2 linked regions of the Arabidopsis thaliana genome follow. The protein of the gene in region 2 interacts with the protein of the main gene of each other region in a pairwise test. Each region holds a gene or a part of one and is shown on either strand. Other genes may lie near its edges. The genes, in order: AT1G72030 and AT5G47860.

Evidence for each region.
Region 1: the proteins of AT5G47860 (region 2) and AT1G72030 interact in a two-hybrid assay, tested with the Arabidopsis thaliana proteins (one large-scale study listed by BioGRID).

What each region holds. Positions count from the first base shown.
Region 1 is NC_003070.9:27,108,870-27,112,619, reverse strand, and holds AT1G72030 (Acyl-CoA N-acyltransferases (NAT) superfamily protein), read right to left. Parts: upstream 1,789-3,750; 5' UTR 1,734-1,788; coding exon 1,404-1,733; intron 1,317-1,403; coding exon 1,264-1,316; intron 1,183-1,263; coding exon 795-1,182; 3' UTR 688-794; downstream 1-687. Other genes in the region: dNK (P-loop containing nucleoside triphosphate hydrolases superfamily protein), read left to right, coding at 1-22, 105-172, 260-461; AT1G72020 (TonB-dependent heme receptor A), read left to right, coding at 2,293-2,365, 2,879-3,099; AT1G72010 (TCP family transcription factor), read right to left, coding at 3,649-3,750. UniProt on the Arabidopsis thaliana protein: Protein acetyltransferase with dual specificity triggering both N-alpha-acetylation (NTA), with a preference for leucine, methionine, serine, valine and to a lower extent threonine and alanine as substrates (can also use glycine), and epsilon-lysine acetylation (KA) of several plastid proteins.
Region 2 is NC_003076.8:19,379,389-19,383,314, forward strand, and holds the start of AT5G47860 (Gut esterase (DUF1350)), read left to right. Parts: upstream 1-2,130; 5' UTR 2,131-2,267; coding exon 2,268-2,476; intron 2,477-2,553; coding exon 2,554-2,623; intron 2,624-2,821; coding exon 2,822-2,946; intron 2,947-3,070; coding exon 3,071-3,179; intron 3,180-3,299; coding exon 3,300-3,363; intron 3,364-3,449; coding exon 3,450-3,505; intron 3,506-3,677; coding exon 3,678-3,785; intron 3,786-3,926. Other genes in the region: CCR4 (CRINKLY4 related 4), read right to left, coding at 1-1,670.

The sequences.
Region 1 (3,750 bases), on a different chromosome or scaffold from region 2:
TATGCATTCTAGTATCCAGAAGGTAAACTTATCTCTTTTTTGCATTCTTTGTGCTAAAAGTCTGAAGATAGATTTTGCTTAGACTGGTTCATTGGTTGTAACAGGTCCCTGCTCTGGTTTTGGACTGTGAACCCAATATCGACTTCAGCCGGGATATTGAAGCAAAGACACAGTAAGTGCTCACACTACTGTAATGTCACCATAACTTATTTGGAATCATAAATCTAATAGATACTTTCTTGATTGATGTTGTTAAAAGGTATGCACGCCAGGTCGCTGAGTTCTTTGAGTTTGTGAAGAAGAAGCAAGAAACATCTACAGAGAAGAGCAACAGTCAGTCGCCGGTACTGCTACCACATCAGAATGGAGGTCTCTGGATGGGACCAGCAGGCAATCATGTCCCGGGATTAGATCTCCCGCCTCTAGATCTCAAGTCACTCCTCACTAGACCGTCTGCGTGACTGTCCATTCACTGACTCTGTTTTTGTTGGCTCCAAGGGAGCGTGTCAGGTTATTGAATGTCAATAGTTTCGATCGGCTTTTATATCGTTTATTTAGGAAAAAAACGTTTGCTGCCGCTTTTGTCCATCTTAGATGTAGAAACAAAACATGGTCGTGCCACCGTTTAGTTTAACCCTTTTGTATAAAAGTTTGGTCTCTGGATAATTTGTTTCTTGAAATCTTGTTGGTCGTCTAAAATTTCAGTTCAGTTCATGTTTCTGCACATTTACTCTGTATCCAATTAGATGGTAGTGTGTTTATTGTTTTAACCAAAATGTACATGAAGAAAACGCCTAAGAAAAGCGTTTACTCATAAGAACGCGACGTTTTCTGCCTATCCAAGTAGAGGTCCACAACGGGTCAGTCTCGACCACACTGTAGCCGGCATTCGAGTAAAGATTTCTAGCAGCTGCATCGTCTTCATAAGCTCTTAGAGCAAGAAGCTTGAAACCCCACAAGTAACACAAAACATCACATGCCTTTAACAATGTACTTGCCATCTTCTTTCTCCTTTGAGATTTTGAGACAGCTAAACCCGAGACGTATAGATATTCTTCGACGCCCGGAAAATAGCGAAGTACTGAACTTTCAGTTTGAGCTGTTACATCAACTACTCCGACAACACTTGAGCTCGACAAAGTTTCAGTTTCACTTGTTTGCTCCGCCACGAGACATGCATATCTGCCAAATTCTTAAAACTTTTATAATTAATCACATTTAAAAACTAGTCTTAAAGAAATTATGTTATGTTATTTGTTTTACCTGTCAGGTGGTGAATTCTTTAGTTTGTAAAGAAGTGCTGATAGAACCTCTGCCTGTATTACATATTATCAAAATCTTCATATACATCAAAACAATAATCTTCAATGTAAATCATATATGAGAATGAAAAATAAACAAACCTGAAAAAACATGAAGAAAAAATCATCAAAAAGAGCAAGAGGGATGTGGAAAGCTTCGGCTTGAACAAGAGACACTCTCCTGATCTCATCCTCGTCGTCTCTATTCAATCTCCTCACGTCCCACCCGTGTTGACTCACCAGATACTTCAACTCTATCTCCGCCGCATTATTCTGAGTCAAACTCGTTAACGACTCCGTCGACGCGCACCGTAGGAACACCGGGAAGCGGCTCCACGTCAGCTTCCGTTGATCTACTCCTAGACCGGAGCTTCCAGGATATGGAAACTTTGGTCCAGCGGCGGAGTAGAGGCTCTGTGGCAAGTGACCCATGTTTATTTTTCTAGCATTTTTCAAAAAAAAAAAAGAGAATCTTTATTATGTTCGTTTTCATGCGCTTTAATATGAAACGTAGAGATAAGATACGCTTCTTGCTTCCATCGTCTGTTTTCTGTGGTTAAGAATCATCGCTAGCTCATGACCATCCAGAGATTTTTTTGGGGTTAGAAAAGATAAAATAGTTCAGCTACGTGGACAAATGGTGACTCTACACGTGGAGATTTGCAAGCAAAAATTAGTATATTTCATGTTCATCAAAGAAAGTGACATGAATTTTTATTTTGACATGTTATATGATTCCTAAGAAAATTCCCAAAGTTTTTTTTTTCTGAACATTTTTGTCAGCTTTTACTTAAAACAAAAATATTTGAACAACACAGTTAAATAAAGGCCTTGTGTAAGAGTAAATGGGCCTGGCCCAAAAGAAGATGTCGCTTTGCACGTGTGATATCATCTCTCATTTCTCAGTCTCCTCTCCTCCCCAAAACAAATTCGCCGTAAAATTTCCAGAGAAGTCGTTCATCATTTGCAATTTCTCGATTAGTTCTGAATCATGGCGTTGAGCACCAGCATCAGATCTGTATCTAAGATCATTGCTTCTTCCGAAGCATCAGTCTCCAGATCTGGTCAGTACCAATAGAAGTATCTGCTGAATTGGTTTTGCATTTCTTTGTTTTTCCCCTTTTTTGTTGTCTAGGGTTTTGTTTGATTTCCCAGGAATCGATTATTCTAAGGTTTTGTTTGATTGCCTAGATATCAATGTTTCTGATTAGCCGCGGATTGATTCCGATGCGATTCTTCGTTGATTGAATTCTGGGATTTGAAACTTCTCTGCTCGCGAATTTGTCATAGAAACACGCTTTAATGGCGTGATGCGAAACAGATTGTTTATGATTAGGCTGAAAAATTGTATCATGAAATTAGAAATGCATATTTTGATGTTTCCTTGTTTCATGGAAATTTTCCATGTTCGTGTTTTGATAGTTTTGGTTGATCAGTGAAAGGCTCCATGTTCATGCTATGATCAGCTTGTTTTGATGTATCTCTTGAAACTAAATGGGCTATAAGATGATTTATGAGTGTTTGATTGGTAATATTTCAAAACTTGCTGAAGATTTCTTTGATATCATCAACAACAGTGACTAGAAGCTTCCACTCGACTGGAGTTAAGAAGATGAGCGGAGGAGGACATGGTGGTTACGATGAATACTACCTCCACGCAAAACACATGTACAATTTGGACCGCATGAAGTACCAAGCTCTCAAGATGTCTCTCGGTGTATTCACCGCTTTCAGCATCGGTGTTGGGGTTCCTATCTTCGCAGTCGTTTTCCAGCAGAGGAAGACTCAATCTGGTTAAGTCCCTCAGGATGCTCTTGTTCACAGCTTGAATAATTTGTATGAATTCTCAAACTCTGCTTTTGCAAGAGAGTTTTTCTTTCTCCCTTTGGATCTTAGCCACAAGTCTTATCGTTATGGTTAAGTCTTCTGTGTCTTCCTCTTTTGCTGGCTGTTTGATGCTGTAATAATGATAATCTGACAGATATATTTTTTTTTACTTTGATTGGAAGTGAAAGTTTTGTTTGAGTATCGTAGAACCCAAAAGCCAAGAAAGATCAACATATTCACAAATCTATTAATAAAAAGGTACAATCAAAAGGAGAGATGAAATCAAGAAAACACACATAGGCACACAAAAACCCACAAATGATGTGACAAATCTGTTCAAAAGCTTAAAACCATTATCTGTTTCACCATATTTGTCATTCAAGCATGGCAGCATTCAACCGCCATCGCCAAAACATGTTTTACAAATGGAGTTGCTAATAGCCAAACCGCAGATTGCGAATCTTCAAACTCGAGTGTGGTCATTACAATGTCATGAGGTGGAACTAGAGAAAAGGATTGATCACTTTTTGTCATCACCACCATTTTCACTAGCTTGACTCTGGTTTGGCTCTTGATGTTGGAGCTGATGCTGATGTTGATCTAGAGTCATGGCCAAACCATC
Region 2 (3,926 bases):
GCGATCATCAAGCGTGTTTGCCACGAAAGAGGGTCAAATTGAGGATTGTGAAGGTGATCGGCTAGAGATCCATTTTTCATGTACTCGTACACCAAAATCCTCTCTTCTGTGTCCTCATAGAAACCCAGAAGTCGAACAAGATTTTTGTGGTTAAGCCGCGACATAGACTCTAGCTCGTTCACGAACGCTGAATCCTTATCTGCTCGTCGGTGTCTCATCGTTGTCCCAGACAATGTAGGATTTGTTAGCTCAGCTCGTTTGATTGCGACATGACGTCCATCCGACAAAACACCTTGATAAACAGAGCCGAAGCTGCCTATACCAAGATGAAACCGGACAGAGAAACCATCCGTGGCTAGAGCTAGCTCGTCAATTGAGAACTCCATTAGCTGCCCAGGATTACCTAAACTTGCTAGAGTGCACAGCCTCTTCTCGAGCTTGGGTATGTCTATTGTCCTAGTATCATCAAGACGTCCAGAGTCATGGACACGGCATCGACAGTGGCTTTTAAAGATCAAGAAACTGATGACAAGGAGCAAGGAAAACGTTCCAACGCATCCGACCACTAGAAACGCAATGTTTCTTCTGCTCCAAGTTTTGTTCTTAGAGTTTTGAGCCCTAGTATCAGGAAACTCTCCATCATTTCTTTTCAAATCGCAAATCATCAACTCATTGCCGCATAAGGACTGTGATCCTGACAATGGACGGTAAGGGCATTCTCTTCTACACGGTCCTGGCATTACCACTTGAGAAATTAGGCCTTGGAATGGAGTGAAAACACCGGATTTAAAATTCTCATTCCCCCAACAAATTAGAGTGTAATTTCTTGTGGCAACACCGCAAAACATTGGCCCTTTAGCATATATTGATGTAAAATGAATGTCCTTAAGCGTTTGAGGCAAACTAAAGTTGTTGTTGTTGCCCCAACACACCACAGTTCCATTAGACCATCTAACACCGCAACCACGGTCTTCCCCAACCGCTAGTGCTAAGAACTTTTCACGTGGCAGCGACTGTGTTTGTCCCCAACACTCGACATCATTGTCAACAGTGATCGCACACGCTTGTCGTGATCCAGCCGCTATCGCGATGTAGTGGTCTCCACTCGGCACTTTGGCTATACCTTCACAACTGATCATACCAGGTGGCTGAGATAGCCCACAGAAAAAATTATCTCCCAAGGCAATGGAACGGTAATTATCCGGCCGTGGCAGATAGTACGGTTGCCAGCAACGGAGGCGCCTTGAGACTCTTTCAACTCCACAAATGCGGAAATTCCCGGCTTCTAGCTCTTCGAGCTCAGGACCGTGGTAGATTCTTTTGTGCAACATATTAGTTCCATCAACAGAGAATCTCCAACAAAGAAGTGTGGAAGTGTTGGAATCCAGCCGCGATATCAATCCGCACACAAACCCATTCCCTGAAACAACCCCCGAAAACCTTCGATTTCGAAGGTTACCGGTTAAAGAAAATGGAATCGAATTTAAAGGGAAACTGGAACATTGAAGATAAGAGTGGTTGTTGAGAGCACATACAAGAGTCTGATTAGAGATGTGGGAGATGGAGACGGTGGAGAGGGAGAAGCAAACAAAGGAGAAGGAAGATAGAACAAGAAGAAGGAGAGACACAAAGTAAGAGGAGAAACAAGAGATTGAGATGGTAAGTGCCATTGAAGAAGAGTTCTCATGGCGTGTGAATGTTTTATGTTTGAGGAGTTGTGTTTTTAAGACGGCAAATCAACGCGGTTAGAGAGACATGAGACAGAGACAGAGACACCTCCTTACCAAGAGACCAAAACTAAGTCTTATTTACTTCATTCATAGTGATTTTTCTCTATTCTAAATTATTTTTATGGTCAACTCTTTGAAAATTTCAACACTTACTTTCAGTGGCATCGTCGTATCTAAAAACTATACTTAATCCTTTGGTTGAAACAAAATAAAGAATGACTTTCGTTTATATATTCCAAGATCTTTTAACATTCATAATAGGGCTTGTACAAATCCTTCATGAGAGGATGACACTCTTCGTCATTTAATGAAAGCAAATGTGGCCCATTAAGTATAATTGAAGCCCAATTACCTTTCACACAGTTAACAATTAAGTTTTTGGTCTGATCACAATGTTTGCGTTAGCTGCGAAACAAGATGCTGTTACAGTCATAGAAGTCTTATGCGTACACGACTCCGATTTCAAAATCTGAACGGAATATAAACTCTCGACGACGAAAATCTCAAAAACCCCAAAATCTCCTCCAACTCCGAGTTATGGCTACATGTTCCCTCTTACCACCACCGTCTTTTTCTCCGCGCCGGCGATTCTGTAGTTTTTCTCACAATCGCCGGTCTCTACCTTCAATATTCAGTTTCAACAAAGAGCGTGTCTCACGAAGAGTCTTCTGTAGCTCCAAAGAGAACGATATAAACAGAGATCGGAATCAGTCTACAGGAATTCAAGTCTACGGCGAAATCGAGAGGTAAAGCCACTCTTGATTTTTCGCGTAGCTAGCTTCATCTTTAAGCTCACTATGGTGGAATCAAATTTGATTTTCAGGTTATTAACAGAGACTGTAAAAAATTCTCAGAGTAGCTCCGGTGGATCCTCTGATTGGTCAGAAGTTGAGGTGTGTGTTTTTGTGTTATCTCAATTTCTCTATGTGTTTTTGGATATGAACATTTTAGGAGCTTATCTTCAAATGTTGATTTGAATGTTTAATGGATGATTCTTAGAATCTAAGTCAAATTTAGGAGAATTGTCTGGTTTTAGAATAAGTTTTTTGTTTCAGATTTATGTTCTCAACGATTCGGTGAACTTGTTTTAGGGAGCATGGGTGCTGAAACCAAGAAACTCGAAACCGAAGATGGTTGTTCATTTCATTGGCGGTATATTTGTCGGTGCAGCACCACAGCTTACTTATCGATTGTTTCTCGAGAGATTAGCGGAGAAGTAAGTCTCATGGTGTAGACAATTTCATAAGATAGATGAGCAAACAAAAAAATGTACTAATGAATCTGGCTTATCTAACTCTAGTTTGTTTCATGAATTTATGATAACGTTGTGATGTTTGCAGGGATGTTTTGGTTATTGCGACACCATATGCTAGTGGTTTTGACCACTTCAATATTGCAGATGAAGTACAATTTAAGTATGATAGATGTTGCCGATCTCTACAAGAAGAAGTGAGTGTCCTTTTGTGATCCTAGAGAAACAAGAAATCTTTTTTGTTCTAGCTTTTTCTATGATCCAGGAGAAGAAAAATTGGTGTCAATGTTGAATAGTAGTTCATTTTCTTTCAACAGGTGCAGGATCTTCCGTCTTTTGGGATCGGTCATTCACTGGGATCTGTTATTCACCTTCTGATTGGTAACTAGGTTTAAATGGTTGTGAATGTTTAAAACTGATTCAGCTCATTAGTTTTTTTATTGAGTTGGTTTTCACTAGTCATTCAGGATCAAGGTATGCTGTTCAGCGAAATGGGAACGTATTTATGGCATTCAACAACAAGGTAAATTGGTTTTGCTATCTTACCAAAGTCAATCAGAGTTGCAATCAGAATTGTTTGGGGAAAACTGATCTAAAGTAATACTTTTTTTTATTGTAAAGATATTGTGAATCCTGTTATGGAATCACAAAACCTGTAAAAAGTGATATCTTTTTGGAACCCTACATTTTTGCAGGAAGCAAGCTTAGCTATTCCTTTGTTCTCCCCAGTTCTTGTCCCGATGGCTCAAAGCCTTGGACCACTGTTGTCACAGGTGGCAACATCCCCAACAATCCGCCTTGGGGTAAGGTTTTGATTCATTTGCTCTACTCTTTTTAAGATGTGCAGCTCTTAGCTAGTTTCCCAAGTGATAGTCTAACTTCTTGCTGTTGGTGTTGTATATGATCAATTTGTTTGGTAACTCAAGAAATGCTGTCATAAGTGC